Medicago truncatula: one gene and its partners. The protein of the gene in region 3 binds, or shares a complex with, the protein of the main gene of each other region. Links are inferred from orthologs where the notes say so. Each region holds a gene or a part of one and is shown on either strand. Other genes may lie near its edges.

Evidence for each region.
Region 1: suppressor of mec-8 and unc-52 protein homolog 2 (region 3) and serine/arginine-rich splicing factor SR45a share a complex: the UniProt entries of both Arabidopsis thaliana proteins name them as parts of the spliceosome. The link is inferred for Medicago truncatula from reciprocal best matches to the Arabidopsis thaliana genes SMU2 and SR45a.
Region 2: suppressor of mec-8 and unc-52 protein homolog 2 (region 3) and serine/arginine-rich splicing factor SR34A share a complex: the UniProt entries of both Arabidopsis thaliana proteins name them as parts of the spliceosome. The link is inferred for Medicago truncatula from reciprocal best matches to the Arabidopsis thaliana genes SMU2 and SR34a.
Region 4: suppressor of mec-8 and unc-52 protein homolog 2 (region 3) and serine/arginine-rich SC35-like splicing factor SCL28 share a complex: the UniProt entries of both Arabidopsis thaliana proteins name them as parts of the spliceosome. The link is inferred for Medicago truncatula from reciprocal best matches to the Arabidopsis thaliana genes SMU2 and SCL28.

What each region holds. Positions count from the first base shown.
Region 1 is NC_053044.1:28,074,885-28,082,846, reverse strand, and holds serine/arginine-rich splicing factor SR45a, read right to left. Parts: upstream 3,011-7,962; 5' UTR 2,870-3,010; coding exon 2,867-2,869; intron 2,383-2,866; coding exon 2,360-2,382; intron 2,258-2,359; coding exon 2,183-2,257; intron 2,040-2,182; coding exon 1,931-2,039; intron 1,817-1,930; coding exon 1,667-1,816; intron 1,200-1,666; coding exon 1,136-1,199; intron 1,041-1,135; coding exon 442-1,040; 3' UTR 247-441; downstream 1-246. UniProt on the Arabidopsis thaliana protein: Probable splicing factor involved in constitutive and/or alternative splicing events. May bridge the 5' and 3' components of the spliceosome.
Region 2 is NC_053044.1:45,763,783-45,771,461, reverse strand, and holds the start of serine/arginine-rich splicing factor SR34A, read left to right. Parts: upstream 1-4,663; 5' UTR 4,664-4,819; intron 4,820-5,550; exon of another isoform or gene 5,551-5,816; intron 5,817-5,954; 5' UTR 5,955-5,979; coding exon 5,980-6,066; intron 6,067-6,693; coding exon 6,694-6,759; intron 6,760-6,851; coding exon 6,852-6,926; intron 6,927-7,000; coding exon 7,001-7,145; intron 7,146-7,627; coding exon 7,628-7,674; intron 7,675-7,679. Other genes in the region: protein EMBRYO SAC DEVELOPMENT ARREST 30, read left to right, coding at 63-616, 1,352-1,526. UniProt on the Arabidopsis thaliana protein: Probably involved in intron recognition and spliceosome assembly.
Region 3 is NC_053043.1:19,409,533-19,417,549, reverse strand, and holds the start of suppressor of mec-8 and unc-52 protein homolog 2, read right to left. Parts: upstream 3,008-8,017; 5' UTR 2,833-3,007; coding exon 2,786-2,832; intron 2,670-2,785; coding exon 2,532-2,669; intron 2,288-2,531; coding exon 2,238-2,287; intron 238-2,237; coding exon 126-237; intron 17-125; coding exon 1-16. UniProt on the Arabidopsis thaliana protein: Auxiliary spliceosomal protein involved in splicing of specific pre-mRNAs that affect multiple aspects of development.
Region 4 is NC_053045.1:57,273,162-57,280,978, reverse strand, and holds the start of serine/arginine-rich SC35-like splicing factor SCL28, read right to left. Parts: upstream 3,015-7,817; 5' UTR 2,928-3,014; coding exon 2,671-2,927; intron 1,705-2,670; coding exon 1,537-1,704; intron 1,435-1,536; coding exon 1,364-1,434; intron 1,238-1,363; coding exon 1,198-1,237; intron 1-1,197. Other genes in the region: sugar transporter ERD6-like 16, read right to left, coding at 6,498-6,619, 6,703-6,817, 7,052-7,111, 7,221-7,274, 7,368-7,427, 7,513-7,575, 7,669-7,715. UniProt on the Arabidopsis thaliana protein: Involved in intron recognition and spliceosome assembly. Probably active at the 5' splice sites.

The DNA of each region.
Region 1 (7,962 bases), on a different chromosome or scaffold from region 3:
TCCAGTTATGAATAGAGTTGGTGTAATATTTGATTTTATGTGCACTAATAAGAAATTACAAACTGACCTGAAATAAAGGAGTTCTAAGCATGTTTTCTTTGGTATAGCAGTAATCTAGTTTGAATTATTGTTTAGATTTTTTATCACAAAATCTCAGACATTGGAGTAGTAGTATGAAACTGAAAATGAGCACCTTAATCAACGAAATCTAAAAGTAAGGTAAAACAATAAACGAAAGACATACTCTAAAAAGTAAATCAAATAACCATGGTATATAACATAACACTGTGCACTCCTTCAAAAGAAAAAACATAACAATTAGGTGTCTCAACACAAGTCCTGAACAAAACTAAAGTACTAAAACACTCCATCTACGAATCTATATATGCTTCCACGCTGATTAAGACTATTATCAAAGCTAATCTAGGATAAACTAGTTGTTCAGTTTGAAGGAGAGGTAGTTCCAGGAGTGTTGGACCTTGAAAACGATCTTGAACTCGCACTCACACTTGAGCTTCTTGATCGAGAATGCTTAACTTTGGAATAACCGCCACTCCTTCTAGAAATTCTTGAATGACTCCTTCCTGATCTCTTTCTTGCCCTGGGGGAGACACTTCGAACAGGAGATGCACTTCGCGAGTAGCTCCTCCTTGACCTCCTTGGCCTTGGTGAAACACTTCGAGAAACCGACCTGTAACGGTACCTTCCACAGTAGCTATCATCAGGTGATTCATATCTGGAACCATAGGGAGAGTATGATCTATCACGCATTCTGACAGGAGACCTGCTGTAAGGAGAGCGAGACCGAGAATATGATCTGTGCCGGTCATAACGATAGTACGATCTGCGTCGACTGTAGTATGGTGAGTATGCCCTCCTTCGCCTGTAGTCAGGAGAGTAAGACCTCCTTCGCCTGTAATCAGGTGAGTAAGAGCGACTCCTACTATGGTCTGATGAATAAGGTGAACGATTGTAGCTTCTTCTATAAGGAGAATAGCTAGGCGATCGTCGAGGAGAGTAGCTTGGAGAGCGTCGCCGTCCTGAATTTAACAAAATGATATGGATTAGAAAATTTGAAAGAAAAAAAGGGTGGACAATCATAAATGAAGTCACAAGAAAGAATAATGAAACACACCTCGAATAGTTTTGAGACCAAGATATTTCCCAGGTGTTGGGGTTCGACCACGTCGTCTTCTAGCCTGCAGTAAATGCAAATAACAACATGAGGATAAGGTATTGCTATGCACATGAATGTAAGCAACAACAACATCAATATAAAATCAAAAAATTAAAATATTTAGCCCAAAATATATATAAACCCTTTGTCAGAGAAGGGACTTGATAGCTATAAAAATGACGGGAATATAACAAGTTATAAATGCAAGAAAAATAAAAGAGGGAAATGCAGGGCATACAACCCCAACGGTCTGATGCTTGTTGATGTATTTGATTTGTTTAGTTGTGATTTGAGAGTTTGATGAAGGGCTGCTTCACACCCTAACCTGCTGCCACAGAAACTTCAAATGGAAAGAAGCATAAATCTTTCAAATTTCATAAAGAACATAAAACGCAAATCATCCATGCATAATCAATGCAGTGAAGTCGAGCAAAAATCAAAACAACTAAAAATCAAAGCCCCAAAATAGACATTGTTGATTGAGTGTACCTTCTCAACCGTAATAACACGACCTTCAAGTACAGAGCGATTCAGATACTTCACACAACGATCAGCTTCTTCTAAAGTATCCATTGTCACAAATCCAAAACCACGGGATTCCCTTGTCCATGGATCAACAACCAGATGAACATCTACCACCTACAAAAGCAATTCAAGAGTACAACATATTTAAATTTCAACAAATAATAAGCCAGTTAAGACTAATAACAAGCATTAAATGAATAGAAGAATAGAAGACAATGAAGAGCATACTTTTCCTTTAGCAGAAAAATGCTTCTCCAGTTCCCTCTTGGTGATCCTAGGAGACAGTCCTGTCACATACAAATTGTTTCCTGGATTTTCCACATCTGGTGTTACGCTCCTAAATCACCATAACAAAACAACTTCAACATGAGTGCATAATTAGATAATTAAAAATACAACAGAGAAGCAATAACACACATAACTATATAAATCAACTCCAAAAGTTAACTCAAATAAAAATAGAGGGGTCGAGAATCCTACCTTGAAAGAGATCGGGAAACAGACCTACTGTATCGCCTGTATGGAGAAGGCGAGGGCGAGGGAGAGGGGGAATACCTGTGAAACGAAAATCAACAGCATAAGCAACATTGCAAAAACGAAAGATACTTGGATTCAAAATTTCAAATAGCAAATTTGAACATTCAGTAAGCAACTAACCTTGATCTCCTTGAATATGATGTCTGCAACAAATCAGAAAGTACAAAATTAAATTAGTACTTTTACACTAAATATGAATGTATCGTTAATTATGATACAAGAATTATAATACGAGAGTGTGTTATTTGAACATCAAAATATCATATCCGTATATGTTTATAACCTTTAAAAAATATAACATCAAAACAACGGATGGGGTATTTGACATAAAAAATTTGATAAAAAAATATCATTTCTCATGCAAGAAACCAATTAAATTTGAATAGTGCATAATAATAAGACCAAATTTTACAACAAATGAAGATTCTAAAACAAGTCCCAAATAATTAACTTCTAATATCCACTAAAGCTAAACCTTATCGATCAAATCAAATTATACAGTAAAAGGAATATAATTAACAAATTTGAAAGACATGCATAGAGATAATTGATTCGATATTCAATTACACATAATAAGAATGTAAGAAAAAAAAAAAAAAAAAAAAAAAAAGAGAAAATGGAACTTACCATAGTGGAAGGTGAATGGTGAGAACTTGATTTTTTTCGAATATGGAAATGAGAGAGAATCAACGAAATTGTGTGTTGGAAATAAGAGAGAAATGGCGTAGGAAGGATGAAGATGGTTATATAAAGGGTGAAGTGTGAGATTATGAGAAGTTTCTGGAGAATCAACCAGAATTGGACACGTTCGATGCAATTTTTATGGGCCCTGGGCCTATCCCTATTAGTTTTAGGGGGTACCAAATTAGTTTGTGGGTGACAATTTCAAATTTACTCACAATTCTCACAATTCTTCAAGAGTAGTCTTAAGTCTTATCAAGTTTGAATCATAAGGAGCCACATTTTTACGACATAAAATCGCATATGCATATTTCAAGGAAAAGTTTGCATTTGCAACGTGGTTGCAACAAGGAGAATATGTTTTACCTAAGTTTGGGAGCTTGAACCCCAGCCCTCAAGAAATTTAGAGAAAATTTCTCTAGCACATTTCCAGTTCTTATTATGATTAAGCACGTAATGAAAGATTGGAAAATCAACTTCATTGTTTGAAAAACCTATTTGAAGGTGATCTTTAAGGCAGTTATATCCTTTTATGGTACATATTTAAAGAGGTCATTTTATGGACGTCCAGTGGCAAATTTAATCGTATAGAATGGAACAATTTCCCTTAAATAGAGGAGAATACTAGTACGATGATTAAACTCACTTCTAGAAACTACTTCATTTGGAAGTCGAAAACGGAGGATATACTTTACTGCAATGATACATATGATCCTGCAGAAAAGGGAGACACGGAGCCAGATAAAATTACGAATGAAGACTGGAAAAAAGTTTTGTCGGAAGGTTGTTAGTTTGCTTAGGCAGTGGGTGGATCTTAGTGTATTCCACCATGTGGGGCACATAGACGAATGCCCATACTCCATGGAAGAACATCGAAAATATATATCAAAGAAATACCGCACAAAACAAAACTTTCACTATTAGAAAGTTGGTGAATTTAAAGTATCAGGAGGGAAGATCGGTTGCCAAGCACTTGAGTGACTTTCAATACTTGCTAAACCAATTGGTTGCCATGAAGTGTTCGATGCCAAATTATAATCATTGTTACTTTTGAGTTCTTTGCCAAAAAATAGGGAAACTTGGGTAGTGTCGTTAAGCAACTATGCTCCAGATGGAGCACTTACATCAGGCACGGATACACGTTCAGCTAATTGGGGGCACTTGACCCCACATGTTCTATTAATTTTACATAAATTTGTTAAGTAATTTTACTTTTTTACCATTAAAAATAAGTTTTGCCCCCACAAAATATTACTAAATTTTTTTTTAAAAGAAGAAATTAATATGCAAAAATATGAAATATAATATTATTGAATAATTGATTGTTGATGTATATAGACAAATATATTCGACAATACTCAAAATGATGAAATAAACAATAGTTTTAAAATATAAAGTCAATAGAGAAATACATTTCATAGATACTTAAGTATATTCAATTTTTTGAAAGTATATTCAATTGTTTGGATATAAAATGATATAATTTTTGTAGTCTCTGCTTTTTTAGTGTTAATAATATCACTTATTTATGAGTAGATTTTTTAATGTACATTATTATAGTATATGATTTCATTAAAAAAATTAGTATATGATTTTGCACCTGCTTAACAATATTTCTAGATCTGTGCCTGGCTGACATTGTTCAAAGTTAAAGACAACATGTTCGATGAAGAAATAAGAATAAAAACATAGGATCAAGTAGCTCTCAAACCAATGTCACGGAAAACAGAGGCAGAAGTAAGAGCTGATGGTGATCCAATAAATCCAAAGACAGATTACAGTCTCAACCTCGAAAAAAGTTCAAATATAATTGTTGAAGCAAAATCCTTTTTATTATTTTAAGGATTACAAACATATTTATTTAATTATATATTGTTATCTACTAATGATTTTTTATGAGAAATGTTTATGAGAATGATCTCAAGAATGATCTTGGCACATGACAAGAACAAACAATAACACTCACGTATGAAGACAAGAGTGAACTTTTTATGCAATAGTCTATGTATCATTAAAGGCAAGAAATTAATATGAAACATTTTGTCTCACCAAATAAAGGAATAAGATCATATGACTTGATTTGGTATTTATGGGCTTTTAAGGAATTTGATCCATTAAGGAAAAAGACCCATTAAAAGAAATATCTCTTATCTCCAGAACATTCTGGTCCTATTTAAATCTCTACTATATTAATCCAGAGTGCTCTGGTCCTTATAATATTACGTTACTAATTTCTTCCAGAACAATCTGGTCCTGTTTAAATCTCAATCATATTAATCCAGAGTTCTCTGGTCCTTATAATTAATTAATTATACTGCCTCCAGAACATTCTGGTCCAAGATAAAACAACTGCATAATATTTAACTAAAGTTTAAGTTCAGCTCAATATATTGTTTTATCATTCTTGCTCTCCAGAACGTTCTGGTCCTTAACTGAATCTTTATATTTCAGCCTTATATCATTTTCTCATTCTGCTCCAGATCATTCTGGTCCTAAGATTATTACTTATTTGACTAACGTATCTTAACCAAGAAATTTTCTTGAGTATAAAATTTAATATAAACTTTCAGGAATAATTTAAAAAGGGTCACAATTCAAACCCCCCCTTTCTTGTGACATTTATTGCTACTTCAATAATCACTGCGGCAAAGAAGGTCACATAAAAAGAAATTGAAAACAATGGAAGAGCAAAGAAAAGAAGGATAAGAGGAATCAAATGCCATACGAAGATGAAAATACCACAACCTTAGTAGGTGATGGGGAAATGATGTTGCTTTTTGTTGAAAAAGAAGAATGTCGTATTGTAGATTCATGTGTTATATGGGTCGTTGACTCTGCATCTTCTTATCATGCCACTTCCAACAAAGAATTCTTTGTGATGTACAAAGTAGGAGACTTTGTTGGCAAAGTCAAGATAGACAACAATAATATTGTAGATATTGTTGGAATTAATGATGTGTGTGTTCAAACCAATATCGGTTTAACACCAACACTAAAGGACGTGCGACATGTGCTAGATTTGCGTCTAAATATAATCTCCGTCCATGCTCTTGTTTAGCTGGACTTCAAAACAACTTTGGTGATGGAAAGTGATACCTACCAAAGGAGCATTGATGGTTACTAGAGACGATGTGTATCCGAGGCTTTACAAAAATCAAGTTAAGTTGATCAAAGATTGCTCGAATGTGGTCAAGAATGTTGCTTTGTCAGATTTGTGGCATAAAAGGATGGCTCACCTAAGTGAAAAAAAGATTGCAAATTCTGTCAAGGAAGTCCCTCGTTGCATCTCACAAATGTACTAAGTTGAATTATCATGATTGTTGTTTGTTTTTGAAGCAACATAGAGTTGTTGAGGCAAAATCCCTAATTAATTTTAAAGATAACAAACCTTTATTAATAGGGAATTAATGGACTTTGATTAATTTGTTGGTATTTAACTTGTGCTCTTGAGTGGTTAACTAAGACAGGAACAAGTTTCAATTTATACCAAGATACAAAGAATCAAAGGACATAAAGACTTAAGAACTCAGTCAGAGTTCAGAAAGTTAAAAAGAATTTAGAAAGTTGAACAGAGTTCAGAAGGTTGTTCATGATGAACATCAAGAACCAAGCCCAGATACTCATGAACTAAAAGACGATCATGCAAGGTTCATGTGACTTAAATAAAAGCCCAGTAAAGTACATTGACTAAGATCAATCAAGGAATAAAGGCATTTATTTGATAAAAGTCAAAGAGGACATCTTCAATGTTCATTTAAGACTATGAACATTTGAAGTACAAAACATTAGGAATATTCCATTAAGAATATCATCCTAGATGTTTTCCATGCTGCACTTCATAAATGTTTCACTATTAGGATTTGATTACATTAATTACAAGTCTTACAAATCATCCTAAGTGAAACAAAAGAAACATTCTGAAGTCCCCTGAGTTCAGAAAGTTCGATCCTGCTCCATGCTTTTTTCTGACGTGAACAGTACAGTGGTTGGAAAGCAAGAGGCAAAGTCAAAAGCAAGATCTGATCTCATTCATCAAGATCTCGACACATAAGGGAGTTGGTACTGTACAAAGCAAATCAAATCCCCTAAAGCATGGAAGTGAAGTGACAACACCACTTTATGATATCCTGCACGCGTTCCAAGACAGATTTCAAAGAAGATCTGCTACAGGAACATTCTGAAGTATGTCCAAGAACAATCTTCAAGTACAACCCAGAAATTCATCATACATTCATCTGCAAAAATCCAGATGCATATCTGACCGTTCATCCACATGAACTCAGATGAAGATCATGAAGAACACAACAACATTCTGAAGTATCTCAGTTTGCCCAGAATTTCAAGTTAAAGTTGGTGGGTCCCAGGACACGTGGCATAAGACCAGTGGTCACTCTCCAACGGCTATAAAGGATCAAGAACTCTATAAATAGAGATCAAGACCTCAGCATACAATACACCTTTGCAAAGCATACAAGAAAACAACATAAGAGTGTTTGAAGCTTTAGCAAAAATATTGATCATCACAAAGATTCCAAGAAGTCTTCAAAAGTGTAAATCAATATCTCTCATATCTTTTCAAAGATAAAACTCAACCTCCATTCTTCTCTTGTCTGATCTATATCATTCAACCTCCATACAAATTGTAAAGAAAGTCTCATCTAGCTTTAGGGGTACTAAAGTGTTAGTTTGAGCAGAAAGGTGTAAAGTCTAAGTGGGTAACTTAGCAAGAAAGGTGTAAGCCTGCTGAGGCTAAGAGAATACAGTTGTTGTAATTGTTCAGGTGAACAAGGTTGTAAGGTGCAGGATTTGAGAAGTTATCTCAAGCATCATAGTGGAAAATCTCACAAGATTGTGAGGAGTGGACTAACCCACATTGGGTGAACCACTATAAATTTCTGTGTGTTCTTCTTCTCTTTTCTTTACTATTTACTTACAGTAAACACAACACACACAAACACATTTAATTATTCAAATTGTGTTTATACTAATACTTCAGAACGTTCTGAAGTCTGTCTGTTAACTTAACCATTCCAAGTTATCAA
Region 2 (7,679 bases), on a different chromosome or scaffold from region 3:
TTGGAATTAATTTTTTTTACCGTTCGGAGATTAGATTTGTTATTTTGTTTAAACTTTTACAGGTTGGCATTCTCCTTCGAGTAATGGGTTATCCTTCCAAAACAATAATTTACCTGGCTGGCTCTGAAACATTCGGAGGTCAACGTGTTTTAATTCCTTTGCGGTCCATGTTTATCAATACACTGGATCGCACTTCCTTGTGCAGTGAGAAAGAATTGTCTGACTTGGTTGGACCTGAACCACCTCTTCCTCAAAATATTTTTCGGACACCTCCTTCAAAAAGCGAGGAAGAACTTAAAGAAGAATGGAAGAGGGCCGGTCCTCGGCCTCGGCCTCTACCGCCACCTCCAAATAGACCAATTTACCAACATGAAAAGGAAGGCTGGTATGGTTGGATCACTAAGACCCCTACAGAACCTGATCCTTCACCTATGGATATGAGGATGAAAGCGCATAGATTACTTTGGGACACACTAGATTACATTGTTTCTTTGGAAGCAGATGCCTTCTTTCCTGGATATAACAATGATGGAAGTGGATGGCCATATTTTTCAAGCCTTGTCATGGGACATCGGCTGCACGAGACTGCTTCTTCTAGAACATACCGACCGGACAGGTAAGTGCTCTTTGGTGTTTGTCTCAATTTATTGATATTCATTAAGATATAAAAAGGTTTCATATAAATCATCAAATTTTCTTATTTTATTGGGGAACTAGAGTTGCCAAGTTACTGAGTTCAATGAGCGGGTGAAAGATGACATTATTTTGTGATCTCTTTCTTTTTGGGCTGGAACTATGTGGGGGAAAGGGTAAATATATAGAGCAACGAGCCACGTTATTTCCTTTTACTCCACTTCAGTAACCAACAATGCTCAGAGATGGCATGTTTTGTCTTGACTCTTGATTGAATATTTATCTAAAGAACACTATTACAACTTTCTTCGGTCCTATTCCAGACATCCATACATGTCAGTATTTAAACAAATGCTAGACAAGACAATTCTCTTGCAGCAGACCACAGACAAGCCTAGGGCCTGTCTTTGGCACTTTCTGGATAAATTTTATGCATATGTGTTGTTCTGTCAATAAATTGTGTGCATAGTATGCCTTCCTTCCTTTCCACCTATGTTTTTTCTAATGCGGTAATTTTTTATTGATTGTCTTGATGCCTTGAGAATTGCATGTATGTATGCATCTGAAGGTGATGAGTATGATGAACTTCTGTTTCCGCGCTTTGAACTTCTCAGCATTCTAATTCTTTGAAAACCATGTAGTTGATTGTGGTTTTGGTTAGTTGAAATTTCCCTTAATTCTACATTTTAGTGACCCTATTTCCTCATGTTTCTTACAGGAAAGTTGTTGCGGAACTTTTCAACATGAACCGTGAGAATTTGTACCATCCAAAACACAATTGGACAATTTTAGTGCAAGAACATCTTAACAAAAGTATGACCGAGGAAGGCCTCATAAGGCAATCTCGATTGTCAAAACCAGCAATGTTCCTTTCACATCCACTTCCAGAATGATCTTGTAGAGTAGCTTCTGCCAGCGTTGCTAACCGCGTTAGAGGTGAGGATGGCCAATTTCTATATGGAGGCGAAGACCTTTGCCCCAAATGGATGCAGCATGCTAGTCTGTCAGGTTCGATGGGGAAAGAAGGGGTAAAATCTGAAGACGATGGGCTCCCAGATTATGAGAGTAATGATTTTGTTGATGAATCTGAGTCTGAAAAAAATGGTGGTAAAACTGATCAGACTCAAGTCTGGGATCAAGATGAGGAAATGGATCCAAATGACTGATAGTGGACGTGCATATCATAACTACAGTCTATAGATATACAACATCCAATTTTTCTGAAATTTGAGAGGTATAGGTTATAAGGTGCTCCGGCAACGCACATGTCTCAATGCTATCTGTGCTGAGCATATTGGTATTCAAATATATTCTTTCATTAATTTTTTGGTTATTTCCATAGACAAAGATAACAATTTCTTTTACTTTTCACTTTCCACTTTCATCTGAATTTTTGTTGTAACATACATATTACGAACAGAAGGATAAAAAGATCAGCTGTCTGCATAATTGGAGAACAGATAAAGTTAGAAGCAGAGTTTTTGTTTAGAAATTAATCCATATATGGCTGCTATCCTTTTTTTTTTTTTTTTTTTTTTTACACCGCATGATCTCTCTCTTTTTAAAGTTCTTAGTGCGATGAATATAATTATTACTAACACGGCAATCCATGGAAACAAAGCTCTGAAACAAATAAGATCAAGAAACTTCGGGTTCCCGTAAAATCTTTGCATCCTCTCCTTCCAATCACTCTCCCATCCTCCCCCTCATTCAAGATCTGTGTCCGTCTGCCTTTCAATCTTTTTTCCTTACGTTTTCTCTACCTTGATATTCTCTCTAGAATTTAAAGACAGATAGACACATATTGTGGAGGCCCAAGAGGGAGAACATGCAAGGAAAAAATTAAGGGAGAAAGAGACAAACAAATATATCTTTGAATGAGGGATGAAAGAGTGATCGGAAGAACGAAGAAGAGAATTCAAAGTGTAAAAAAGGTCAAAAATATAAAGTTTATCTGCACTTTATATTAAATATATAATTTTATGATAAATAATTGTTGTTTACAATAATAATAAAAAATCATTTTTAGTAGTCTAAGGCCCCGTTTGGATTGGCTTATTTTGAGCTTATGTGGGCTTATCTACTCCCATAAGCCTTTTTAAAGGCGTTTGGGTAAATAAATAAAAATAGCTTATCATAGTTTCATAAGCTGCTTATGCCATATTTTAATAAGCCTAAATTTTCAGCTTACCCTCTGGCTTAACAAGGAGCTTATGAATTTATGTAACCTCTTTCGATTCTCTCTAGATCCACTTTTTCAAAACATATATTTTAATTATAATTTTTTTTGAAAGAATATTTTAATTATAATGTTAGTTATCTTTGGCGGTGCATCAGTAACAAAATTGTTATATACTTATCTTACTAAAGTAACAAACGTAACTAAGATTTTTTTTTTTAAGAAGATTTTTATTATTTTTTTTGTTACGTAACAAAATGAAACTGAATAAAAAAACAAATTTAACTTGTCTTTTTTGGGTAACAAACTGCACACTAATATCAATATATATGATATGTTTATTTACACCTCTAATGTTAATTTTATCTTATATGAATATTGATATTTTTTTTAAGAACAAATATTGATTATACTATATATATATATATATATATATATATATATATATATATATATATATATATATATATATATATATATATATATAATTATAATTAATATGTTATAATATTGTTTTTTTACACCTTGATTAATTTTATCAAAAAAAATCTTGATAACTGTGGTTCAATTCTTTGATTTTTTTGTTAAATTAAAAATATTTAAAATTTCGATAATTGCTTATGTAATGTCACATCCAAACACTTCAATTTATGTAAGTACTTTTTAGTGTACATATCCAAACATAAATAACTTATCAAGTATAAGAGCTTATGATATAAGCTCTAATGTTATAAGCACTAATGCTATAAGCATCTATATAAGATGTTTATCCAAACGGGGCCTTAATCTATGTAATATTGAAGAGACCTAAATATTAAAGTGTAATATCGAATAACCATCATTTTAATCTTGAACTATCAACTTCTCACCAATTTAGTCACTAAACTATAAAAATATAAAAAATATTCTCTAAACTATATAAAATTCATCAATTTAGTCCATTGGTTCGGTAGGTCGGATTTTTGTTTTTGCTTCGTATATTTTTTGCCAGACAGTAAAAAGGGTTTTGGTTTAGGTATGAAGCGAGTTTAGATTGTCTTTTAGAAACCTGTGTTTCTTTAGATCAACAAAATATAAGATGAAAATGATTTAAATGCACGCCACACAACACTCTTTTAGAAACCTGTGTTTTTTTTTATCTTGTATATTCGGCCATTTGGTTCATGGATAGAAGATTTGAGCATTGCATCACATATTTGGACATGTAAGATTGTATTTGGCTCGTATATTTCATTGCATAATCGTGTATATATACAAGGGTATCTTAACTATCAAGACATTGTCAAATCATAACTGTGATTTCTCAATCAATATAAAATATATTTACACCCTACATATAAATGATATTTACATATTAATCTTATAATTTATGGTTGGTCCTATCACAACCTTACAAAACTGGTTTGTGATGCGATGATTGTCCCCGCTTATAAACACCTGTTCATGTTGTCTCTTATCTAATTTAGATTCTTTAAGAATAAGTAAACTAATTGAGTCTCAAAATTGTGAGCGTCGGACAATTTGGGATCCTAAATTACAAAATAGCAAATTTCTCCCTCAAATTAAATAATCCCAATCAAAATGCTCCTTTTGTTAAGTGGTTTTGTTAGGGTGGCAAGATGTAAGTGTATATGTCCTTTTGAAATAGCAAATTTCTCCCTCAAATTAAATAATCCCAATCAAAATGCTCAAAAAAATTACGACTATTTCTCATCCTTTCCCCATTAAATAAGGTATTATATCGGAAGCACGTTTTCAGTGGTGTATTTCATCTGAAAATATACCGTCGTACAAATTTGAGCATATAAGGGGTGCGATTAGCAATCATTAACAAAGGATGGGCCGTTTTCCTTTTCTATTGAAGCCCAAACCCGTTTCGGATCCATAGATTTAAACCCTAATCTCTTGCCTCAAACTCTTCGTTTCTTCTCTCGATTTCGTAGGGATCTTGTTCCAGCTTCGGCTTCAGTTTTGCAGCGATTGGGTGCTCAAGCTGTAATCTTTCTGGTATGGCGTGCATCAAATTTCTTTTGATTTGTTGAATTTGAATTTGTTTCATGCCTCTATTGAATTTTGAATGTTCCCGTTTTAAATTAGGGTTTTGAGGTAAATTTTATCTCATTTCCATCGTTGAGCTCCAAGTTTGAATTTTTTTTAAAATTCGCAACTTGGGTTTTGCCTGCCCACCTTGTATGCTATTGGGTGCAATTTCTGAAGACTCTGCTTAGTTATCACGTTAGAATTTTGAATTTTTATTGTTCTGTATATCTTAGTTATTATTGGAAAATAATCTCCAATTTAGGTGATGTGGTTGCGTTTTAAGTTTGTGTATTTCACGGGGTGAAATCTGCAGACGAGATTGAAGAAGCTGGTAAAAGGGTAATGATTCTAGTTAAGGATTTGTGAATTGTATACATGGGTATTTCAGATTGTGAGGTGAGGGTATAGGAATGTAGTACCAGTTACTTGTCCCGGAGAATAAGCAGCTAAAACAAGTGTGTGTAAAATTAACAAGGGGTAATGTTTACAGTTGAGGCACCAGCTCAGTGGTAAGAGCTTAGCCTTGTAACCAACGGGGACGGTTGTAAAATGGCCATTAGTGCTAGTTTAATCAATAAAAAAAAGGGTAATGTTAGGGTTTGATCTGTCAAAGCGGTTAAACGAGAGATGAGTAAGGTAACTTGTTGAGTATATGATCATAATTTGATCTCATGACACAAATGCTTTCTTTATGATAGATGACAAGCGCTTGGACAAATTTGAGCTTTGCAATCAAACATAGGGAATATAGAGTGGGAGTGGGAGAATCGGGGTGGAGTTGTGGTTATTTTTTTAAATAATTGGAGATTCTTCCTCACTCTCAGAAGGATTATGCTTGCTAATTTTCTGGAAAGGATGAGGAGAGCAAATTTATTTTCAATATTGTTATAGCTTTGGAGCATCTTTGGAGCAAATGAGCAATGGAGCTTGTGGAGCACGGCTCTCTTCAAGGATTGCTCTCTTGGTTTGCTTCATAGTTTTGGTTTTATTTACTTTTGTTTGTGTAATCATTAGAATGATGATAGTTAGGCGTTTCAGGTTTAGGCGTGGCTTCAGACAGTAATTGATTTCTACTTGTTGATGAGCTTCCGTTTTTTTGTAGAACTGTACAATTTCTCCAATCAAATATGAGTAGTCGCTTTTCTCGCACAATCTATGTTGGCAACCTGCCCGCTGATATAAGAGAATCAGAAATTGAAGATCTGTTCTACAAGGTTTGAGCTGCGTACTTTTCCTGTTTTCCATGTTATGGTGCCTTCAGTTCATGTCTTCATGATATTAGTTCATGATATTTTGTGTTTTGTTCAATTTGTTTGGCTACTGAATTTTTCTATATCTTCCTATTGTCTGGAACCTACCTTTACACCATTAGGAGTTTTGAACTGAAAATTTCTTTTACTCAAACCTGCATTTCTACTTCTCTATTTATTTTTTGTTTAATTACTGGAAATCAATTACAATTATGTTAACCGATTAGTAAAATTCATTAAACATATATTCAATTCAGATGATAACAGTTAACGAGAAAAGGTTTGGGTAGTTGTTTGTTGTTTTAACTGACAAGCAGATAGTTTGCATTATTCAATTCTTATGACTTATGAAGGATAAAGAATCATATATTCTTAACTACTTACAGCCATGTATTTTTTCTGTTGACCTCCTTTTCCTTTGAATGGACTATAGTTTGCTTAGCTTTGTTAACTTGGATTTGGATTTTACCCTTAGTTATATCTGTTGCTTGATTCTTATCTTATACGTAGCTTCAAGGGTCAATGTTTGAGGTTGATTGTTATGTACTAACATAGTCATGTTACAATGGTTTTCCATTATTCCCTTAACAGTATGGCCGCATAATGGAAATTGAATTGAAGGTTCCTCCTCGCCCTCCATGTTATTGTTTTGTTGAGGTATTTATAATTACTCTCTTATATATTTCTGTCTTGGCGACACTCTTTACCCTTTTTCTCACTACTAGATTACTTGTATTTTGGCTTGGTAGTTTGACAATGCTCGAGATGCTGAAGATGCAATTCGGGGTCGTGATGGTTACAACTTTGATGGTTGTCGATTAAGAGTAAGGGACTGTTCCAACTTTTGTCTTGTGAGGTGAAAACTTTCTTCGGAATGCCTAATCTGTTCTTGTTGTAGGTGGAGCTCGCCCATGGAGGCAGAGGGCCATCATCAAGTGACCGACGTGGGTATGGTGGTGGTGGCGGCGGCGGTGGAAGAGGCGGCGGCGGTGATAGTGCTGGTGGGGGCCGTTTTGGTGTCTCTCGCCATTCTGAATTTCGAGGTGTGTCTATTTAGGGATTCCTTTTTCAATATAAAAATGATAGGGAACATATGCTGAATGGTATTTTGTTACCAAATAAAAAACGCGGAATTGCATTTTTATTTTTCATTTAGGCTGTTCACCCATTAAGCTCCGACTAATATCATGTTTATCATTCTTTAAGGAAGAATTTAAATTTTCTTTCAAAAAGGGAATTTAAATTTCCCCGATTCATGGCATTCTAAGATTTTTCATGCTGAGAACTCTTGAACCATTGTCCATGACTCTTATCTGCATGTTTATGAATTCACAATTTTCGATATTTGTTACTGTATGTGCTTGTTTGCTTTATGTGATTCATAAATTACAAGTGATTTTTGTTCTACTTTTATGCATATTATTGCCAATCGGCAATAATTATTGAAGATATTTTTGTTTTCTAACTTTTCGTGATTTTCTACACACCATAGTATCTTAGTCTTTTTTGTTTTTGTTTACTACAGTTATTGTTCGAGGACTCCCATCTTCTGCATCCTGGCAGGATTTGAAGGTATC
Region 3 (8,017 bases):
GTCTTCCTTGGGTGCCCTACAAAAGAACAAATTTTACTAAACAATTTTTAAAGGACAATAAAATGCTTTAATTGATAGCAGTACAACCACATAACTACTACTGCAGAAAATTCTGACTCAGTCACCTGGGTTTCCCATCGCCATCATCCCCAGCATCTGGCTTCTTAATCTCACTTCTTACTTTGTTCAGCAAAGCATAATCCAAACCTTTAACCAAATGTGTATGCTCCACATCACCTGACCAATGTAATTAACGCAAACAAGGTAAGTTATTAAAATAACACATTCAGTTAGGGCTTCATGTTTTAACCTACTCTATCATAAAGCAAGAATGTCAAAATGTAATCAAAAGCGTAAGAATATAAACCTGAATAAGAAAATATCACGAGGCATGCAGCATAGGAAATTCAAAATTCCAAGTTAAAACCTACTCACTAGATATTAGAGTCTACAATATATGGAAATTTGAGATCATCGAGGTTTAGGATGACAACTATGCGTATGTGCATCACAAAGCCCGACCCAGCCCCCCTCCTACAAATAAGGAGGGTTGCGTTAGACAAATAACAACCAACGTAAAACTTTGTTAAATCTTTATGGAACAAATCATTGATGATCTGGAAGGAGGTACATAATTGCTAAATTCGAGGTGAAAATTGGAGAATGAACTATTTACTAAGCAGCATGGTTTAGGTAATATTAGGTCTAATTCACAAAATAACGAAGAAACAGAAGGAGATGTCAATTACAAGATCCAACCAGAGTAGATGAAATGGAAGAACACTTAGGGGTAACATTTGACAAAAAAATACCACTCAGAAGTCAGAATTAGATGACACTTTTATCGCACAACTACAACACTGAATGTTGGGTAGTAAAGAGCCTATGAAAAGGTAAGTTCAGTGTTGCACAAATAAGAATGATACAATGGATAAGTGATCAAACAGCAAGATAAAAGTAGAAACAAAAGTATTAGAGAAAAAGTAGGGGTAGACCCCATTGTTTAAAAATGTTAGTACTAGTAGAGACTCATTTACGATGTTTTGAGATTCTTGGAAGACACCTATAGATGTATCGATTAGGAGGCTAGAGCAAATTAAATATAGTCCAGACTCTAATAACTAGGTATAGAAGGAGACCCAAATAACCTATATACAAAAGCATTAAAAGATTATATTATTCGATAAGATTTATGATAAAAAAATTACAACTTTGCTTGATCCATGTAGTCAACCCCATCTAGTGGGAAAAGACATTGTTTCTAGTTGTTGAATTATTGTCATGATGAGGATGACAACAACAAGTGAATGTTCAATTTATTTTTAGGTTTCTAATGCACCAAAGTAATAAACCTTCCCAGAAACAAGAATTATATAGTAATTAACAATTTTATGAACATGCAGAAGAGACCTAAAACAAGCTTTTATGCAGTGTGTCAATCGCAGATCGCAAAAAATATTGGTTTGTTCCAATTCCACTATGCTACAGTACTAAAGCACGCTATCTGTATTGTCGATGGCTCATGGCAGAGAGCCAAAAATGTAACAAACCAGACCAGTCTCCTATTGCTATTTGACAAAACTTTGTACTAAATTGTGTATCGCAGAACAACAGTGGTTTATTAATATTTCATTACACTATAGCGCAGCCATTTGACAACGCTGAATTTAGATTAACAGTTTCCTTGCAAACCAAAACAGCTTTTAGAACAATAGCAGTCTGTTAAACTTTCATTAAACTATAGCACGGCCAGTTGACAATGCTACTTTTAAAATAACTTTCTTTGCAAACCAAGACAGTTTTGAGAACAAATAGTCATTTGTTAAAATTTCATTAAACTACAGTGCTGCTATTTGACAACACTGCTTTAAGACTAACTATTTCTTTGCAAACCAAGACAGCTTTTAGAACAATACAACAACCGAGCCTTTTTCCGACTAAGTGGGGTCGGCTACATGGATCAAACGACATCATAGTGTTCTATCATATATCGTATATGTATCCAATTCAATAATATCTAAATCTTTCGTAATAGTTTCTCATATAGTTTTCCTACATGACTACGTCTTTCTCTACCTTTCTGATTCGAATACCCTCTATCTATCTATCTACTCACCTTACTTCAAAATCTACAAGTCTTTTTTCTACACTACCGGTTTGTTAAAATTTCATTATACCATAGCACAAACCAAGATAATATTAATCATTGTAGAACAAAATAAAAGTACAAGACGAACCTCCAAGGTACTTGCTCTTCTCAATAGACAATTTGTGCGCATCAGATGCCCTATAAAACATAATCAACATTAGACAATACCAAAAAAAGTCTCTTCTAGCTTAACTATCGTCTCGAGTTCAAACTCAAGTTTGGGTATGCAACAACATTAAAACTGATAGTTCGCCACCCATTTGGGTTGCTTGAGAGATTAGTCTTCATAGTTGCGCGCCAATTCACACCCAACAAAAAAAAAACTCTTTTTTGTGCTTCATGCATTGATTAAAAAACAAAAAGGCAAAAATCGAAACTTTACCTGATATCAACGGTACCAGGAGGAGCAACAGCATGAAAACCAAGTTCAGTTTGTTCATAATCAGGATTTTGATCTTCCCTACGTTCTTTAGCTCGATCTCTATATTTTGGCAATTCTGGTTCTTCCGGTTTCTCTTCCCTGTACAAATTCAAACACTTTACTATTTGCACCCCACAGAAGTTACTATTTGCACCTCCCACTCCATAAAAAATACTATGATTTTGTAAAAAAAAATGAGATTGGATGAAACTTACTTGCGGCGAATTGGTTTATCTTTGTGATTTTTCTTCGATTGTGTCATATTTGAAACTCGATTGAAAGTGTTGAAATGTGAGATTGAATTTTTGGATTGAGTTTTGTTTTTGGTTTAGGGTTTTGCGAGGGAACGAGAGAAAGAAAGACGTGAAGCTGCTGCTGGTGAATGAAGGAGATTAGAGAGGTTTTAAATTACGGAAATATCCTTCACTTTCAGGACTTTTGGGCGAAAGTAAGAAAAAATGAGGAATTGAAGGAAAGATATAAAACAAGTAATTTTTGGCCTCTAAAAAAAAATATTTTTGGTTTTTTTATTGAAACTAATTCAATAAATTTTTTTGTTCTAGTGGCTAGAATTCACGTGTTCGTGATTCGAACTCCGACCCCATATAATAATGTATTGTCCTACCAATTGAGTTGTGCTCACGGGACCAATAATTTTTTTATGAGTAAATAGTCAATTTTCCCCCTGAAATTGTAAGTTTCATCAATTACCCCCCTGAAATTAACAAAACTTCAATTACCCCTCTAAAATTTCACAACGTTAGTCAATTTACCCCCTCCGTCAAATTTTTCTGTTAGTGAACATGACGTTTTGCAAATACCCCCCTGAAGTTTTGCACTTATGTGCAAAATGCCCCCCAAACTTAAAAATTTATATTATTTTTTTCTTAAAAACAAACAATTAATAGTTAAATATTAAAGCTAACTATTAATTTTGGAGTTTGGAAAAACTACATACATATATACATCAAAATAGGGAAAAATGTTTATTTTTAAAGTGACAATAATGGTTATTTCTAATAGACAAATTATTATTTTTAGAGGTTTATAAACAAATTAATAATCAGATTTAAATTTATATTTTCTCCTTCACCATCTTAGTCTTTTAACTCCTCCAACTCCTTCAACAATTTGCTCAAACCATTTAAACTACACAACCCCCAATATTAATCCACAAATCATCCCATTATTGTCACTTTAAAAAATACATATTTTTTCCCATTTTGGAGCCTATTTTGATGTATATATGCATGTAGTTTTCCCAAATTCCAAAATTAATAGTTAGTTTTAATATTTAACTATTAATTGTTTGTTTTTAAGAAAAAAATAATATAAATTTTTAAGTTTGGGGGGCATTTTGCACATAAGTGCAAAACTTCAGGGGGGTATTTGCAAAACGTCATGTTCACTAACAGAAAAATTTGACGGAGGGGGTAAATTGACTAACGTTGTGAAATTTCAGGGGGGTAATTGAAGTTTTGTTAATTTCAGGGGGGTAATTGATGAAACTTACAATTTCAGGGGGGAAATTGACTATTTACTCTTTTTTTATTGATAGAGAATTGATTTAATAAGTTCCTCCGTAGTTTTGTCATCGTGAGTATATATCAATTGACAAAATAATGTATTGTTATCTATGTATGGGAGTCGGGTTTCAAACATCAGATACTCTACTTATTTACCTTAACAGATGAATTTTAACCCATCAAACAACTTGACAAAAAATGTTATTTTAGGAAGAAAAATTTGTGTCAACTATAAGTCGTTTTTACAATTTTAATGAAGCTTATATTTTATGTTATATTCTTAACTATTTATTACTCTATCTTTTTTCATTTCTCTGATTTTATCTTTTTCATATCATCAATGAATGATGATTTTGTAAAATAATTCATATTTTTTTCCTAATACTTTCTATTTTTTATACAAAATTGATTAGATTTCTTAATTTATGTGAAATTGTTGAAACAATTTATAATTTAGGACGAAGCAAGTTTAAGTTTTTTTATTTTTATTTTGAGGTGGAGAGTAGTAACTACTAAGTTGTAAGTTAGTTTGTTGACATTACCATCGAGAGTTTGAATATTTTTTCGTTCCGACAAAATTATCAATTTTTTTGTCTTTATAAAAAAAAGACACTTTTTTTTTATCCTTACAAAATTTGTCGAGATGTATTTTGGTCATGTTGTAAAGTCAAGATGTATTTAAATGATTTTTTACACATAAATTTAGGACTCATAAATGTTTTTTTTGGAACATCTGTTTATAAACTCTTAAATATAGACGAACTCAAAAATATATTCAAGAAAACTTTGCATGATTTTAAATAACTTTCTAAATCATTCTTATTTCTTTATTGACTTGTTTGAAACCAATGGAAACCCAATAGGCATGTAGGGTAAATTGAGGATCCCATTATTTCCTTAATGGACCATCCGAACATCCACCCGTATCCAAGTCCATATCACTTAAATAATTAATTATTATTTTAATAGAAACTTAATAAGCCTTTTTCATTATTTGATCACTAATAATTAAGGCCCTTAAAAATAAATAGATAAAATAATTAAAACATATATATATATATATATATATATGCCCATATAATAATTATTGGAATATTATAATTAAATAAATTATAATTAAATATTTCAACATGGCATTGAGACTTGGGTTGGTTCAGAGGTGGGTGTGGGTTTTTTCCTTGTTGCTGCTGGTTGTTGTTGCTACATTGGTTGTTTGTTTTGGGGGTCTGACAGCGTTTTGGGGTGCACGTTATTGTTCCTTTTTGATTGTGAATTCATGTCTTGGCTTGTTGTTTAAGTGTTTTGACATTATGTAAGATCTGATTGTTTTACAATATTGATTGAATTATGGTAATGTTATTATTAGTTTGATATTGAATTTACAATGTATAACTTCTCAATTTTAGTGTCACAATATAAACTCAACCCTTTACACAAGGACAATGATGGATAAAAGAAAACAATATAAGCTCCACAACAAAATTTGTTTTTAGTGTCACGGCTTAAATTTGATTATTGTTCGAAACACATGATTGTCACTCGCTTCAACTAAAAACTTTCTAATTATCAATCCATATTATATTTTTGTTGCCAGTGAAGGAATGAAATGGACATGTCATGTATAATATAAATGAATGAATTAATTGTGTTTGCACTGGACCTGCCAAGTTAAGGAGAAATAATGAAACTGTCGTGTATCTAAAACTGCACATGTATGCTTAGTTAACTGATACTGATAGTACAAAACAAACTTAGGCAACTCACTATTTTTATTAATAAAAATTACAGGCATAAGGTATAACAAAATTACAAGCATCATTTCAAAAGTAATGTTATACCATTCAATATCGTTTTACTCGATTCATATTTTTCAAATTTGACCGTTTGATTATAAGTTTATATCATTTAGATGATCCATGTAAATTTTCACATAAAACTAAAATCATTTGATATGTTATTGAGACCCATCAAGATAAACAATTTATTCATTTTTATAGAACATCGTTAATCTTAGTGGTTCACAAAAACATATCAAATAATTTTCGATTTGTATAAAATTTTACATAGATGACCTATATGATATAAACTTATAATTAACGGTCAAACTTGAAAATATTAATCGAGTAAAACTATATTGAATGGTATAACATTGATTCAACATTACTTTAGTGTAATTTAATTCCTTTTATATATATATATATATATATATATATATATATATATATATATATGTGTGTGTGTGTGTGTGTGTGTGTGTGTGTTGGTAGGTAATATTTTTAGAGAAATGTTAAGGTCACACCACTAGTTCACTCTTTTGACACATTAAATAAAAATTAGTCATGTGTTATATTTTTTTAATTCAATCTACTGATGACTGGTTCATCCTTTTAGTGTTACTAATTATTTTATTTTTTATTATTAAATTAGCTTTTAACTTTTTATCTCATGTGATCCAACTCCCACACACACATTCTTTTCATGTTCACTTTCAGGTTCTTCTCTATCAATGAAATTGGCTGCTTTCATAAAATTGATTAAACCTATTTTCTCTATCAATGAAATCATGTTCATGTTCTAACTTGCTTTCACTCTTTATTTATTTTTTTTATTTCCATTTCTCACCATTGACATGTACTAGTACGACATATTTCCTTGTTATTATTTAAATCAAAGTTTATATTGTTATCATATCATTATGAGTTATTGTTATCATTTCTTATATTAGTTTATTATGATAGTCATATCATATATGAGTTATCGTTACTATTTAAATCATAGATTATATCATGTAAGAAATTTATTTTAAGTAGATGAAAAATATAGAGATTATTATCAAGAGTTTCGAGATGTTATTTCATTTAATACAAATAAGTATAAAATGTCATGTTCTCCTTTTATTGGTGTGAATAATAACTTTCAGTCAAGGTTACTTGGTTACACATTACTAGTAGATTAGACCTCAAATACTCTCATATGGATGATGAAAACATGGCTCAAAACGTCGGGCGTAAAACCTCCAATTGCAATAATATGTGATCAAGATAGAGCAATAAAAGTGACTATCAGAGAGATATTTCCAAACACTCAACACTGATTTTGTCTTTGGCATATACTTAGAAATGTTCTTGAGAAGTTTTGTCATGTATTAAGAAATATGACGACTTTATCAGATATCTAAACTCGAGCATTTATATATCTTGGTTAAAGCAACTATTTATACATAAATGACAAGAGATTGTGAAATTATTTCAATTATATGGGTATGGGTGAATTAAGTCTTTATATGATAAACATGATCATTGAGTTCCTATTTACATAATGGATACTTTTTTTTGTGGTATGTCAACAACTCAGATATATGAGAGCATTAATTCATTTTTCGACAAATATGTAGGTTATAATAAAACTACATTAAATGAGTTTGTTGAAAAATATATAGTTTCCTTGCAAGATAGAGAAGAGACAAAAAAACAAGTAATTGATTTTAATACATGACACACGGAACCGATTCTTAAAACACCTTCACTGTTTGAAAAGCAAATTGTACACATGAAATCTTCATGAAATTTCAAGTTGAAGTTTTGGGATTACTTGGAACTCATATTTTGAATGAGACTAAAGACAATCAAATTACCACCGTAGAAATCTTAGACTTTCAGAAAAATGAAGAGTTTGTTGTAGAGTGGGATGCATCAAAAGCTGAAATATATTATTTATGTCATTTATTTGAGTTTAATGGATATCTTAGTAGACATTCATTGATGACACTTCTTGTTGTCGGTGTCTTCGCTGTCTCATCAATACTTTCATATGGATGATGAAATGTTGCTCCCTCAAAGCAAAACTTCTGGATCCGTCACTGCGTGTGACCTTAGAAAATGTTTACCATCTACACTCCAAGTTGCAGCAAAATCGTAATAA
Region 4 (7,817 bases), on a different chromosome or scaffold from region 3:
ATGAGTTCATTTGTTGTTTAAAGAAAAACTACCTACAAAGATAATTGACACAAAATCAATCAAACCTTCATTTTTTTTAGTTTCTTATAAGAACTAATACTTGCTTCCTCTTTAGAGTCTAATTAGCCAAAATGTGACCTTTACCTGTACCTTCCAAAAGTTTCTGGACAAATACATGACACTTTGATCCAAACAGACAGTTATGAATGATGTACTGCAACAACAGCATCTGGTAACTTCATAGCTCTCTTTGTCCCAACTTTTTAAAATGACAACTATCTTTCTTGCACAACATATCTCTACCCGTAAATACTTTGGCTTCCATTCTTTGAGCATGATTTTCTTTGGCCAACTATAAGCTTTATATTCTTTCTAAACTGGATGGTATATGCAAAACAATATATCAAACTAAATAAAATCTTCTTCACAGAAAAATGGTATAAGGGAATAAAAAAAAGTAATTATTTGAACCATTCTTCTGCAACAAGCCAAAATCCAAAGTGGGTAAAGTCCGGACAACTGGCAGAATAAGGCAAGTTTGGAATCGATATTTCTTATGAAGGGACTTTGATAGATACGTAAGCAAGTACCAGATCACTTTAAGCCTCTTTACTTGTTAAACTTTATTAATCAATCTTTAAACTCTTCCACTCACATTATTATCTGCATAAAGAAGACCATAAGCAGATATCATTCAATTCACTTAAACACATTATAGGAGTCCTGTCAAGGTCATAGGATTGGAAGGCACTCTGATTGTAAGAACTAAACCAGCTAATTATACTCTTGCCGAGCAAGGACACAGTACATCTATCACAAATGTGATGGGAATAAAAACTTAACAGAGCAATTCTTTTACCAGCTGTAGCTCTGCTGAGCAACTTTGATCACAATGATTTCCAACCAAATAGCAAACATCCTTTACTACCATGGATTCTAAAGTCTAAACATGTCATACTACAGCTAAAATAAAATCACTTCCAGCTTATGAAATACAACTATTGTCTAAAATTCAATTCGAAATAATATTTCAGTACCTAAATACAAGTATACAACCAAATGCAACCGGTTGCACCACCATAATAATTGTAAATTAGGCTTTAGTTCAAGCAAGATGATATGATGCTCAGCAAAATATTAAAATATAGTAATATGATTGAGGAAAAATAAACCATTAGTAATGTGTAAAACTCAAACCTTGAATCATCCCTGGCTGGTGATGGAGACTTAGAGTAGGCTGCAAACAATGCAGATATAATAACATAAATAAAAGGATTGGCTTCTCAAAGAATGCATAGACCAATTTAAAAAATTGTTAGTGTTTAAATATGATTTTGAAGCCAAGGCAAATAGGTATACTAACATCGATAACGGCTGCGTCGTGGAGATCTTGATCGAGCTCTCCTTCTACTACCACCACCTCCACTTCGACCACTTTTAATAAATAAATAAATAAAAAGATCAATACGCATGAAACGATTTCATAATTGTAAAATGTAAAAATAACTAGCACATCAAATCAAACTGTAAGCACACCTTCCATGAGAAGTAGTAACACGCATTTCTTGAGGGGTTTTCCTATTTTCCTCAGCAAATACAATTCTTATTTCACGTCCACCAATTATAGTGTGATTAAGTTGTTGCTTAGCCTCTGCTGCATCTTCACCATGTCGGTATTTCACAAATCCAAAGCCACGAGGCTCACTACAAAACCAATTCAACAAAAATTCAACGGTGAAATCAAACCAATCACAAATTTAAAAACAATATATTATTAACATACAAGTAAAAAAATAAGTCTATGGTCAAAATACTCCTAGAGACTTGGGTATTATATGGTGCCAAGTCCCACATTGAATAGTATGGTATGGTTGGCGATGTATTTAAGTGGCTTGATTCTACTCAAAATAGCTAGCTTTCCATAGGTTCCTCAAACCAGTTCAACACTCCACCAAGCATCCCAATTCCATGCGGACTTTCTTTTGTTTTGAAACTCGATATCCAACCAAATGACAAACTAATCCAAGGGACCAATCCCACTGTCTCCTAACAAACCCAATTGAAACCAGAGTATGGACCGGCCCAACACAAGAAATGTTAACACGTGGAGGAATTGAACTTGACACCTTGATAGGAGCACACTCCGAAAGTCAAAGGCTAACCTCGAGCAGTTTTAATCCATGTGAGACTTAGACACCCCATATTACACAAGTTCCTATGAAATACACACAATTTCACAGTGTATGTTTGGTTCCACTTCTAAAGTGGCCAAAATTGATTCTAGAGGTGTAGAATTGATTCTGACATGTTTGGTTGTTTTCAAGTAAAATTGATTGTGCCTGCAAGCTTGTTCTACTTGAAGATAGGATTTGTAACACATGTTTGGTTGTTTTCAAGTAAAATTGATTTTGCCTCCAAACTTATTCTACTTGAAGCTAGGATTTGTAACTTTTGATTCTAAAATTGATTTTTATACACAAGCTTATAGTTCAACTCAACTTTTATACAATGCATTCAAGCACAAATCAATTGACCTTGAAATCACTTTTAATCAGAAACAATTTACTCAATCAATTCTAATCACAGCAAAATCAAATATACATAGTAATATCTTATTGAAAGGGGTTGAATTGTTACTATAAAAAAAAGTTAGAAGAGAAGAGACGATACCCAGTGTAATAGTTTCTCGGAAGGTAAACATCCTTGACAGGACCATAGCGTTCAAATGGACCCCTAAGATCTTCAGGTCTTGCATCAAGAGGGAGATTACGAACGAGTAATCCAGAAGGAAGAGGAGAACGACGGTCTCTGCGAGACCTGTTGTCAGGATAGCGATCATCTTCGTAACGCTTGCGACCGCGAGGTGGTGGAGTTCTGCTACGCCGGCGAGGGCTGTAGCTTCTGCTACGGCTTCGATATCGACCCATTCTGAGAAATTAAAGAGAAGAGAGTTCTAGAGGAACAACAAAAACCCTAATACCCCGATAGTAAAATTCAGATAGGATTGCGAATTATTGAGAGAGGACAAAAATATATAGGAATGAATTGAAGAATTAAATACATTCTTTTACAATTTTATTTTTTTTAAGTAAAATACATTCTTTTACAATAAGATGATATGAATAAATTATACTACCTCCGTAAGGGGAAAAGTTACGGTGCATAAACACTTCACAACCATTGGATTTACATAAGAAAAGGCAGTATAAAAACAATTTCAAACAAAAAAAAAAATCATAAACCAACACTCTTTCTCTCTAAGTCTGAAACTTAGAGAGATGTTCTGCAAAAGAGTTTCTTCTCCGACCTCCTCTTCAAGCGCCAGGGCGGTGCCTGCCATCCCAACAAGGCGGCGGCGCCGCGCCGGAGATAGCAAAAACCTCCGTTTTCAAAAAAAAAAAAAAAATCAAGAATCCGACATCCATTTTCTTTTTAAACTCAAATCCACCTTCAAAATTTTCGAAAAGCAAACACATATGCCTAGATTTAGCTTCAAAGATTCGAAGAAAAAAAAAAGGACACGAAAGAGAAGAATTCGAAATTGATAGAAAAGAAAAGAAGAATTCGAAATTTGTAGTGTGTTATGATTCTGATGATTGTTTGCTAGAAAAGTGTTTGATGGATTTGTAGTGAAAGCTCAAAAAATGAATTGCTGAAACCATTCCCACAGCAAAAATTTCTGGAAACCATTCCCACGGCAAAATGGTTTCGGAGTACAACACACAGAAACCATTTCCACAACAAAATGGTTTTGGAGTACAACTCACATAAACCATTTCTTTCCTCCTCCTCCAATTGTGTCAGTCCAAAACTGAATGATGTCAATGGCTCTAGGTCCTTGGTTTTTTTCACCTGCTGAAACCATTAAGTACATCTAATGGTTTTGGAGTACAACTCACATAAACCATTTCCACAGCAAAATGGTTTTAGAATAATTTTATACAAAACATACTATAAAAAGGACATTTGTGACTGTCATTGAACCAAATCATTATTAACAATTTTATGCTACTTTTTTAAATTTTAAAAGTTTTGGGTCAAAGTTATTTTTTTTTTTTAAATATGGACCGGGTTGCAAATTTTAAAAATTTAAACGGACAAATTCAAATTTTAAAAAAATTTAGAGGTTAATTTTCAATCTTTGAAAATTTACAGGAGTCAACTTGTAATTTTGGAAATTTATACGAGCAATTTAAAAATTATGAAGAACAACTTGAATTTTTTTAAAAAGAAAATATAAAAACCAATTTGACATTCATAATTTTTATTTCTTAGGTTTCATAATTTTTATTTCTTAGGTTTACTAAAAAAAATAGAATTCCTAATAAAAATAGTTTCCAAGTATCGTTTGAAATTTTCTAAACTTAACTTAAACAAAATATTTTATAAATTTTCATCTTTTTAAAAATTTGAATCATTTTGTACCAATTTTTTTTTTTGAATCATTCAAACAATAAAAATTGCATAGAATTTTAAACTCTCTTAGACCACTTCAAAATTTTCATTCATCCCAACCCTCTAAATGATTCAATATTTAAATTCATAACCATAGTGTAAGACTCGTTAGTATCACATGTGATTCATGCATGAGACCCAAAAATTATTTTTCAATTGTCTCAGCGTGTTTGGTTTGGCGGCAGAGTTAATTGATTCTGGTATAATTGAGTTTGAGAGAATTGATTATGGTTAAAAGTGAGTTTGATGTGAATTGATTTATGTTTGGATACACTCACTTAAAAGTGATTCTTATGAGTTGATGTTGTTTGAATAATTTTAATCAAAATTGATTTTGAATGTACAATGACCAAATTATCCTTTTAATTGTTTTTGAAACTAAATATCATATTTTCTTTTCAGATAATTATTTCTACTTTTCTAAAATCATAAGTACATTTTTATTGGTTCATAAATTCCTTTTAAAATGATTTTTTTAACGGAAATTCCTTTTAAAATAATATTCATTAATAAGAGTTATTTGTAATATTTTGTTATCAAACCAATTGAATTATTATTTGCTTCCACTTCTACATAGTTCGAGCTTTTCTAGTTTTAGAATTAAAAGCAAAAAAATAAAATAAAAATGTAAAAGGAAAATGACTCTACATGAATTACAATGGGCCCATTCATCTCTCATCTCTAACCTGAAGATTAGATAACAGTACCAGACAGCAATAAAAAAAATGTTTAATTACTTTTTTTTATCGTCTAACTATTTAATTGGTATCAGATTGATCCTCTAACTAAAAATTGATTTATTTCGGTCCTTTAAGTTTCTCACCGTTACTACATTTAGTTATTTCTTTATGTCAATTTTATTCAAATAAACGTTAGGATTTGTGTTAGACATAAAAAACGCAGGACAATGAAGGGAAAAGCTGGAAATAATAATGTTACTTCTGCAGAATTGATTTTGGTGGACAGAAAAGCTACATATTGTAGCTTCGCATAAAATCGATTGTAAAAGGAACAATCACGTTTTTAACATGGGTACCAAACACCTTCCAAATACAATAAAACCACGTTTAGAGGTGTAAACGTACGTCCATGGATGCCAACCGCAGAACCAAAGAGGGACTTAGTGGCAGTGTGCTCATTGATCTTGTTCAGATAGTTGTGTTTGTTCTTTGATTACCACATCACAAAGGAACTATCTTCAAGCTCTTCGTGAGATTTCACACAACTACTCAAATACTTCCTCAAGGTCCACAAACCTTCAATCGTTGACTCTCATTCGGTATAACTCACTCCTAGAAATCATATTTTATACGCCAATCTCATTCATAATCAACCGTATCATATTAATAATTATATTAAAAAAAAAGATCATATTTTTGGGTATAATAAGAAGGTGTCGTTCGTGGATGTGTTCATTTCGGGTTTTAGCAAGGGTGGGACGGGTGGAGGTGTAGTCTATTTCAGTGAGAAGAGGAGTTAGTGGAGGATTGTACGTATTTTTTGGGCAAACATTTTTTTTACATGATATTTATGAATACTGGTGCGTATTCAGTTAAGGTCAAGGATGTCTTCCATTCTATAGAAAATGATGTAGGAGTAACAGTGGTTCTAGTGCATTTTGTTGATGATATTGTTTTGGAACAAAATAGTTCATTTGAATGTTTGGTTGTTTGCTTAGAGATTTTAATAGGTTACTGATGCAGGTTAATGTGTTAAACATGGCATTTTGAACGTTGATTTACAGTTATGTGTTTTGGACTTAACACAATACACTTATTAGTTAGGTCTATATTTTAGGTGTAACGTCCATTCTATTACAATGCAGTTCATATGTAAAAAAATTACTCTTATTAATTTGCTATTTTATGAGTTACTCGGTGTTGCCAATCCTAGTCCTCTTTTTGCTATTCCTTGCAACAAAGCAATCTAATACTACAATCTGATAAAATAATAGTAACTGAAAAATGTCCTCCTACTGCAATTTTCAGCTTGGTCTCCAACAGCACCATCAACTAGTGGCTGTGATTTGGTAACTCTTTAATTCATATCGATGAATTGAGGCATGCCTGAATTTCTTCCAATGTTTTTCCTTTGGTTTCTGGGACTAACTTTGCTACGAAAAGAATAGTTAAAAGGGAACATCCAGCATATAAAAACAATGTACCTGCTCAAAAATATAGAAGATATATGTTACCAAGATGAAGAACTTAAGTTTACTAACTAATTGTGGTAGTGTATTGTGCTTACCAGGAGAACTCCAGCTCATAAGAAAGTTGAAAGTATATGAAACAACCCAAGCTCCTAGCCAATTTATCAAAACTACCAAACTCCCAGCAGTTCCCTTTACATGTATAGGAAAGATCTGCAATATGAAAACTAGTATTAATTAAAGCATTTCTTACATCAACACTGCATCTACCTTTTTATTCGGTTTTTATATCGAGTCTAATTCATTTTTATAAAATCGACATATATCGTAAGAATGTCACTATTTGTATCTTTTCAATGCGTGACTTGGATTTTCTCAATACCTTCCATGAGCACAATTGTTCATAAGAGTTGCACTACAAAAGCCACAAAACCAAATGACACATACCTCAGACATTATTACCCAAGGAACCGGTCCCATTCCAATTGAAAATGCTGCTACATATATCTGACACAATTTGATACAATTTCAGGTCAAATATGCTTAAAGAATGTATGTGATTAACTAACATTTCATTAACTCAAATTCCTTAATCACATTTTCAAATTAGACTCACCAGAATGCCGGCAACAGCTAATATTGGTACCAACTCAAGCAGCAAGTTCTGATCCTGATCCATGGAATTATACACAAAGTTTCAAAATTGACGAATTGAGAGATACACGTCATAATCTATATAGAAAATATGATTAGTAAAACTTGCCTTGAGAAAGAAAGCAATTCCAGTCATAAAGCAACCTAAAAATGTTCCACTTGCTGAAGCCTACATGCATATAGACACTTCTATTAGGCATTTCCCCTTATCAACGGTATTATCAAAAATTTTAGATACTTGATAATAGAATTACCGTTATAAGTGGTCTTCTTCCAGATTTATCCATCAAAATGGCTCCCAAAATAGTGAATGGAACCTGTCATTCATTTTAATATATGCTGTTATAAAAGTACAGTTATATTATCAATAAATAAATGTATGAGAAATTCATATAGGGATAGAAAACTACCTGCATACAAGCATAGGCTATGGTACCAATTTTTCCCGAAGAAAGTCCTGCAAGTCATGTTGTAGCGCGATATATAAATAAATAAATAAATATAAACAAAGAGAGCTACTTTGATTTTTCAAAATCAAAATGTATTTTTTCAAACTTAC